3 linked regions of the Saccharomyces cerevisiae S288C genome follow. Changing the gene in region 3 together with the main gene of any one other region gives a genetic interaction. Each region holds a gene or a part of one and is shown on either strand. Other genes may lie near its edges.

The links. Genes that interact genetically often act in the same process or in processes that back each other up.
Region 1: mutations in IST3 (region 3) and HTZ1 together harm fitness more than expected from each alone (negative genetic interaction), as found in Saccharomyces cerevisiae (7 studies listed by BioGRID, with this or other methods).
Region 2: mutations in IST3 (region 3) and SNU66 together harm fitness more than expected from each alone (negative genetic interaction), as found in Saccharomyces cerevisiae (6 studies listed by BioGRID, with this or other methods).

What each region holds. Positions count from the first base shown.
Region 1 is NC_001147.6:303,066-305,521, forward strand, and holds HTZ1 (histone H2AZ), read right to left. Parts: upstream 919-2,456; coding exon 514-918; downstream 1-513. Other genes in the region: PLB3 (lysophospholipase), read left to right, coding at 2,284-2,456. UniProt on the Saccharomyces cerevisiae protein: Variant histone H2A which can replace H2A in some nucleosomes. Nucleosomes wrap and compact DNA into chromatin, limiting DNA accessibility to the cellular machineries which require DNA as a template.
Region 2 is NC_001147.6:894,111-897,938, forward strand, and holds SNU66 (U4/U6-U5 snRNP complex subunit SNU66), read right to left. Parts: upstream 2,278-3,828; coding exon 514-2,277; downstream 1-513. Other genes in the region: RNA-processing protein NOP58, read right to left, coding at 2,715-3,828. UniProt on the Saccharomyces cerevisiae protein: Component of the U4/U6.U5 tri-snRNP particle, one of the building blocks of the spliceosome. Required for pre-mRNA splicing.
Region 3 is NC_001141.2:363,174-365,842, reverse strand, and holds IST3 (U2 snRNP complex subunit IST3), read right to left. Parts: upstream 955-2,669; coding exon 508-954; downstream 1-507. Other genes in the region: actin cytoskeleton-regulatory complex protein PAN1, read left to right, coding at 1-377; DJP1 (Djp1p), read right to left, coding at 1,324-2,622. UniProt on the Saccharomyces cerevisiae protein: Required for pre-mRNA splicing and spliceosome assembly. As part of the pre-mRNA retention and splicing (RES) complex, required for nuclear pre-mRNA retention and efficient splicing. Required for MER1-activated splicing.

The DNA of each region.
Region 1 (2,456 bases), on a different chromosome or scaffold from region 3:
ACAAATTGCAATTGATAGATGATTTTCTGGTTATAAAAAGGAACCAACAAATCGGTAGAAAGTCGACAGTATAACTAGTGGTGAAGCTGTTATTAGAAATGGTAGGGGGGTTTTTTTTTTGTCCTGTCGGCACGTATGGAAATTTATCGTCTATTAAACCTTTTCTTTGATTTGATTTCTACAGTGTACTTTTGTAGGTGTCCTTAATTTCCATTTTTCCGGGTATGCAAAGTTCAACAAAAAGAAAGCCCTGACCAAATTTCTGCGTACATAACGGCTACTGCGCTATCGTTGGGAATATTGTGTGAGAGTATATTTTCATGCTATATATTATAGTAAAAACATAAGAGATTAGACGTGAAAGGAGAGATAGATTACATATATGTATGTATATAACTCGGGTACGGAGAGACAAATTTCAACTTATAATAATGATACAGACGTTAATATGGATAGAATGAGGATACAGGAGCAGGGAGAATTACGGGAAATGGGAAAGAAAAACTATTCTTCTTATTTCTTACTTCCCTTTTTTTCCACTTTCAATAATAATGCTTTATTTATATGAGGCAAAACACCACCTGAAGCAATTGTAGCCCTGATCAAAGAATCTAACTCATCGTCACCTCTAATGGCCAATTGCAGATGTCTTGGGGTAATCCTCTTGACTTTAAGATCCTTGGCTGCATTACCAGCCAACTCCAGCACTTCAGCAGTCAAATATTCCAACACAGCAGTCAAATAAATGGCAGCTTTGGATCCTACTCTTGTTCGGCCGGTAGCGTGCCTTTTCAGGTAACGCTTAATCCTACCGACAGGAAACTGCAAGCCAGCCCTTGCTGAAGAAGATTGAGATCTCAATGAACCACTGTCTTTAGCGCCGGATTTACCTTTACCTCCATGAGCTTTTCCTGACATTATGTTAAGTTATTTTTACGTGCGGCTATAGTGCGAAATTGAATTTAACGATATTTTTTCCGACTGAAGTATAATAGAGTCCGCAGTGTTTTTTAGTTGGGGGTTGTGACTCTATTACACTGGATAATAGTTCAGCTGTTAAATAGAGCTGTATGCTTTATTTGTTGTTTTTTTTGTTTTGTTGTTTTCGTGCACGGAGCGAGCGCGGCGGGTTACGGAACACCAGCGGCCAGTTCTACGAGTAGTAAGTTACGGGCGTAAAGTTACTGTGTGCTAATCTAGCATGGATGCATTCAGTAAACCTTTTCAATTGAGTCTAACGTTCTCTAAAGAAAGAAGAATACTGCTATTTTAGGTATGTGCTTACTACCGCTTGTGCGGACCTGCCCTGATTCCAAGGTAAGAGACAGTGATTCTTGTCCTAAGCTCTTTTCTCCGGGGCGGGCGGGCGGCTGGCAGACATATTGATTGCGGGTAACACCTCCGAGGTTAATTAATCAAGCAACGTGCGGAGTTTTATCACATGGATGTTTCTTATCACCGGGTGCGCGCCACGCAATATATAAAACGGTAAACATACGCTGTTGCAAGGCAAGACACAACAGCGGCAAACACTTCAGAGAATACAGACGATAGTCATCAGCACTCCTAATAATCGTATAATGAATACTATACGAAGCTTTGTGCGTTGCAAAAAGAGCATACCAGGCGAAGAGAGCGCAGTTAGTAGGTGATCGGGAAATTGCTGAGTACAGTTGTTTGCCTCCTGTGATACCGCGTCACATGACCATTTAAAAGTGTCCATAATGTCATCGGTAACGTCACACTCACATGAGTTTTCCTGACTTCAGCCTCCTTCATCTCGCGTTAATACGCCAGCATCGCGCACCATATTACTGCCCGCGTAATCCAATTCCTCCTTTCGTTCTCAATGACTAAAACGCAAATCATTTTTCCTTTTTTTTTGAAACCGGTGGACGCCCCATAGAACTTCCAAATCAGGAAATACCGCAACTTCATCCGTTTTCGTTTCGCTTTAGTCCTCCACGAAAATATCTTGCCGGTTCCGCGAATGTTGTACTGGTTCTTCTGTGCAATGAGCCTTTTTCTCTTCTTTCTTTTTCCCTGCTTTTAAGATGGCTTGGCTATGGAATTACTCAATTTGGCACTTCTTTTGCAAGATCCAGACTTGCAGGGATTCTATCACCATTATTACCACACTACTATGTTATTGTTACGCTTTTCATCCACTTTTATATAAGTTATACGTGGTTTTACGAGTTCTAATATTTCACTTTTCAGCTTGGAATACGCCGTTTTAAGAGGACTAAAAGCAAGGAAATTACACACATAATAATATAAGTAATGATACGTCCATTATGTTCAAAAATTATTATCAGTTACATATTCGCAATTTCTCAGTTTCTACTGGCCGCTAATGCGTGGTCGCCCACAGATAGTTATGTTCCTGGCACCGTGTCGTGTCCCGATGACATAAATCTGGTAAGAGAGGCTACGTCTATATCTCAGAATGAGAG
Region 2 (3,828 bases), on a different chromosome or scaffold from region 3:
CTCCTTTATAAAAACGAATGGCTCCTTATTAAACACTTTTATCGTCAATCCACTTACTCTCTAAATATCGTAAGCTTTGCATATATAAGCATATAATAAAAATAGTTGGTATATGCTGCACGTGTAGTCTAATGTTCTTTTCTTTTTTTTCTTTATTCTTTTTTCTCCTCTTTATGAATACAGATATTCAATTTTTTGAATATCTGATTGTTTTTATTTTCATTTCAATTTTTTTTTTTTTTCAATTTTTTTTATCCGATCGTTGCGCCAAGCTTCTATCGCTTAAAACAATGACACTTCGCTGTGAAATGACACAATGGCTTGAGATTCAGGCACAACGCAAAAGGTCTTTACAAATGTATATCACAGAATATTAATGTTTGAAAAGTACTTCCGAATTCAAGGCCACCACGTAGCCTTATACACCAAATACAATTATACACAGGTTTCAAACTTGAGAAAAACAAGATATTGAATATTAAAAGCTGGGGCTAGTAGAATTTGCTGATTAGGTTAATTGTCATCAAATTCAAACAAACTACCATTTTCAGGGGTATTTTTCCTTGCTTCAATTCTGGATTTCATTTTTGCTCTCTTTTTCTTGTTGCTTTTTGTACCATGAAATTTCTGTGACAGTTTTTTATATGCCTCCTTAGTAGTCAGTCGATTTCCCTTTTCGTCTCTGTAAACCAGTTTTATGTCAGGATCATAATGATCTTGTCTTTTTGAATGAGTATTTGCATTGGAAGAGTCACTAGATGTGAATTGTTCCAGTCCGTGTAGCTTATCTTTTGTATAAGTGCCAGTGCCCGTATGCTCTTTATTTCGGACATCCCTTCGAAGTGATTCACTATTATTAACATCCTTTCCTGGTTTCAAATCGACGTCTCCTGTGGTGAAAACACTCTTTTTCCGAAGATATCCTAGTGTTGATGCAAGACCAGAAAAAAAGTTCGGTGCATTTTCAGCATCTCCCTCGTAGTTTGGTTCATTATTAACTGCTTCAGTCAGTGTATTGTTTCCACTCCCTTCCTTAGTATGTCCATTGGTAACATCTCCGATATTTTTCTCTCCTTCACCATGCACTTTCACTTTATTCTCAGTAGCACTTCGTTCGGAGAGACTGGTATCCAAAGTATTTAAAAAAGTTACCTTTTCGTCGACGACAATACTGTTGGAAATTTCACGCATTTTCAAAATGCTTTCAGTGCGTCGCTTCTCTTCGTCTCTTGCCTTTTCAATTTCTCTAGCGAGGTCCTCTGGCCCTTTCAATTCATTGTTTGAGCTTGTTCTGGGATTTATTATGGTGACTGGCTGTTCTTCTTCCATCCAGGATAAACTTTCATCTTCATCTACTAACTTAACAATTTCCATCTTATCAGTAATTTTTGACTTCCTAGCTTTAGTAGATCTTGGGTCCTTGATCTTACGTTTTTTAATTTTTAAAGGTTTAAAGTCTCCACCATCTTCATCTGACATATTATTTGCGCTATCGAAATTCACTTTAACTTTTCCCGTTGGTGGTTTTGCTGATATAGTATTCGGTGCCTTCATAACACCCTGTTCTGCTCCGATGATTAGATGTGTAGTTGTAATTGAGTGTTTCTCTCCTTCTTCTTCTTCTTCAATATCTAAGCTAGATACATTTAAAATTTTTTTTTTTTGTCTTCTATCTTTATTCATTTGTCGTAATCGTAGTTTCTCTCTATCAGCGTTTTCCTCGGCAGCTTTCACATTCTCTAACACTTCGGTAGAATCAGTATCATCAAAAATACTGCTCTCTTTCAAAGTTAGAATCGTATCTTTCTTTGGGCTAAGCGCCTCGATATTATATGATACTTGAACATTATGCAGATCAATATTTTCGTCTTCCTTCGTGGCGCCTTTTCTTGGCAATGTGCTGGAACGTTTGGATTCATGTGAGGAAGGAATTGCATCCATGTTTTCTAGCCATGAACTGTCGTCATTTACATTAGTTTCTTCGAGAAGGTGCGCCATTCGTAAAGGAGCGTTCGCCTTTTTTTGAAACTTTGTTATCTTCTCTCGAAGTTCATCGATTTTGGATGTGTTATGTACATTAGGGGGAGAAGAATTGAAATTTTGTTGGGGTGGGATAAGTTTTAGGCCAAGGGACGCCCTCAACTCATTCGTCTCTTCGATTGACAAAGACTCTTTATGGTCTGTATTCTTTTCTTGAAAAACTGGAATAGGTTTCATACCCAGCTTTTCCCTTATTTCATTTGTCTCCTCAATAGAAAGGTTTTCCGTTTTGTTCATAAATTAATTAAGGGTTGATGTGATGATTGCCTTTTTATTAATATCAAATAGTAACGATTGCACCATCTCATCCTTTGCTCACTTTCAAAAATTTTGTATATCTTTTTCGTCCCGCGAATAATTTTAAGTTGCGCAGTTCACGATATGAATACCTATAACTGCTAATGGTACAAATTTTTTAAAGGTTAAACAAAACTTTTAATGATATAAAGTACCTAAAACTATGTAAACATAAATTATGTATACTATTTCAAATATATCACCTAAAAAAAATAATAAGTTCAATTCAATATGGGCGTACAGCACTAATTTACAGATTATGGAATAAAATATGAAATGAGAAATAGGTTAAGCATTGGATAATTATAGAAAATTTTCTAAATCCAAATAAAAGGGAACGCGAGGGGTCACTAATTATTAAAATGTAAAATGCATCCTTATTTCTTCTCTTTCTTCTCTTTCTTGGACTTCTTTTCCTTCTTCTCTTTCTTCTCTTTCTTCTCCTTCTTTTCCTTCTTTTCCTTCTTTTCCTTCTTGTCCTTCTTTTCCTTCTTAGCTTTTTTAGAATCCTTGGAATCTTCATCATCGTCTCTCTTTCTCTTCTTTTCTTTCTTTTCTTTCTTTTCTTCCTCTTCATCATCAGAATCGGATTCAGAATCAGAAGCAGCCTTTGCGGTATCAGCATCTGCATTGTAGGCCCTAGCTTCAGTCATTTCCACCTTCTTAGCCTCACGAACAACCTTTGGAGTAGTTCTTAAATCTCTACCTTCTAATTGGGATAATCTATTTTCTACTTTGGCTCTTGATTCTAGACCAATGTCACCTGAATCGTCTCTATCTTCAGCTAAAGCATCATAACGCAATGAGACAGCGGCCTTAGCAGCCAGAACTCTTGCAATCTTACCTTTGTTCTTACCAGTAGCTTGACCAACAAGAGAGGCATGATATAGCAAACCATACTTTGGTGTATCATGCTTGGTCTTTAAAGCTCTGAATAAAGCCTTTTCGGCACCTAATATTTGGATGGTAGAAGCTGGTGATTTGGCCAAGGAAATTAAGGAACCTGAATGAGCGATAAGTCTAGCACCAACTAATTCACCAACCAACTGAGTCAAGTTTGGAGCAATAGCCTTCATTCTTGCAGACAAGTAATTGGACAACTGTTCTCTGTAAGCGGCAAATTCGACTATTTGTTCAGCTAAAGCATTAATGTTGTCTAGATCGGTTTGAGTGATTTCAGTACCCATAGACACTTCAGCAGCGGTTTTGACACGTTCTTCAATCTCTTCTGGTAAGATTTCACTCAAATCTGTTTCAGAAGCCTTGGATCTGATACCCATTGTTAGAATAATTCTCGCATAAGCGACGGAATCAGTAACAATCTTAGCTAACTCAGGAAAGTGCCACCCGTACCATTCTTTACATCTCATGGCATATGTGTTTAATTCTTTATCTAAATCATCCAATAAAGCAATTGCTTGAATAATCATAACATCAACTTTGTCAGCAGAAAATTTTAATTTGTGACGACCGATGGAATGAGCTAAACCC
Region 3 (2,669 bases):
CCGTCCCGTTGGCTCCCCCTTTGCCTGCTGTTGATGGCTTTCAAGAACCTCCAATTCCCTCAGCACCTGCAATAGCTACTGCCGTGCAAAAATCGGGTTCTTCCACCCCAGCTTTAGCTGGAGGCGTTTTGCCTCCACCCCCACCTTTACCAACTCAACAAGCTTCCACTTCAGAACCTATTATCGCTCACGTTGATAACTACAATGGTGCTGAAAAAGGCACGGGCGCATATGGATCCGATTCTGATGATGACGTTTTATCGATTCCTGAATCAGTTGGTACAGATGAAGAGGAAGAAGGGGCACAACCAGTTTCTACTGCAGGTATCCCATCAATTCCACCTGCAGGTATTCCTCCACCCCCACCCCTTCCATGAAGATTTAATTTGCTTTCTATAGATACGTATGTATACTAATTTCTGAAAGGATGTAGAATTACAAATATGATATTGATTATTTTTTTCTAGGCTATATGAATATAAGATATGCGATGAAAGAAAAAATTATTTAATTTGGTTGGTCCTTTTTAGCCAAAATGAGTTTCTCAGCATTGTTCTTCGAAACTATATCTCGATCCAATTCTTCCTTTACAGCTTCATAGTATTTTTGTAAACTCCTTTTTGGCCTATAAAAAGTATGATCAATTTTGAGGGCTCTACCGCCAATTTTAAATCCATTTAAATTATCGACTGCTAGAATCGTTGACCGTTGATCCTCATATTTCAAATATGCAAAACCTTGCGATTCTCCTGTGTTTTCATCCCTGCTAAGAATTACATCTACAGGGACTCCATATTCAGAAAAGACTGTCAATATGTCACCTTCTGTTAATTCTCGGTTGAGATTTCCGATATATATATAAGCATTATCCTTATATTCATTATGCCATGATTGATGCGGGCTAAGAATTCCACTTTGTAGTTCTTTATCGTTGATTTGCTGAATTTTGTTCATTGTTATTTTGTTTATATTATCTATGTTCTTGATCTAGAATTGCACGCTGCACTTTTTGAGTTGTATGAGTAATTAATGTTCGGCCTATTTTTTTTTATCTGTATTAATCTCAAAAAATTCCTAAACCCAGAAAGGTAAAAGAGCTTATCATTTAAGTGTGGCATAATTCTCCAGCCATAACCACTTCCTTATCACATAAATTATCATTGTCACTGAGTTCAATCACTTCTTTATTGTTCTATTGTCTTTCTTTCAAGAATAGAATTATCAGTATTAGTGTGATCTTATATACATTATATTATATTGAATACAGATAATAAAAAAAAGTGAATTTTTGAATTTTTAATATACAAGAGATGATTGCTAACTTCATGTATGTCTCTTCTTTTTTGTAGCTTCTGCTACAAGTTCTTCAAAGATCTGTGCCTCTTCTTGTTCGACTTTGGTTCTGAAAGTTTTCTTAAAGACTTCACCCAATAGTTTCATTGCTTCAGCTCTTCTGATAAGCGTTTTCTTACTTACCGAGTCATCTTCTAGTACTTTTTTACAAACGCCACGTAAAGTGGATGTTATTTCATATTTAGAACCATGCCAAGCAGCCGACAATACTTTGCCCATCAATAGCTGCTCTTGCTGCGCCAGTTCCTCAGTGGTTGGCTTAATTTGCTCATTTCCGTCTTTGTCAAACAAAGGCTCATTATTCGTGCTAGCTTCTTTCATTTTTTCAAGCTCCTTCATAGTATTCTGAGCGTCTATGGCTGCCGAAACAGTTCTTAGTGTATCCATAAATACTCCCCCTTTAGCCTTCATAGAATGAAATATACCACCCATTCCGAACAGGTTCTGGGATGCAAGAAAAATTTCAGCTTTTTCGTAGTAAACGTCGCCTATTGTGTGTAATATGTCCAGACCAAATGATTCCATCTTTAAAAGATTGGCTTCCTCTTCGAACTTTTTTTTAAAGGAATCTTTACATGCATCATCATAGACACTTTCTGTTAATATCGATAATCTTTCAATCAATGTTTTGCTTAATTGGTCTACTCTTTTTTGCTTTTCTACCTCTTGTTCTTCCTCAAACTGCTCTAATTTTGTCTTCTTCTTCTTAGCTTCTGCTCCTACCTGCTCATTTTTCTTGTTTCCATCGTGTACAGTTAAATTACCAGAAGTTGTCCTCGCCTTATTTTTGTCATCTTTTTCGTTAGTATTGCCCAATGCTGCATCAACAGCGTTAGTGGTGCCATTCGTCTTACCGTCTGCAGGTGATTCTTCCATTGTTTCCACATTCTCCTTCTCCTTTTCAGCTTCGTCTTCAGCATTTAGCTCCTCAGTTTTCTGTAGGTTCTTTAATAGCATCAGTTCGCCAATATATGAGGCAAACGCATCTCCACCAAAGATGACAGAGAACTGTTCAGCTGCATCTTCAAAGCCGCCCTGAGGAATAGCTTCTTTTCTTCCATACTTATCATACTTTGCGCGAAGATCATCGTCACCTAAAACTTGATAAGCTTCGGATATTGCTTGAAACCTTTCGGTAGCCGTGGGGTCATTGGGATTCTTATCAGGATGCTCTTGAATAGATTTCTTTCTATAGGCCTTTTTTATTTCAATGGAAGATGCAGTGGTAGACACACCTAACAAATCGTAATACTCAGTATCAACAACCATATCTTTTGTATAATGCCCCTTCTGGCCGCAAGAAACACTTAATGATT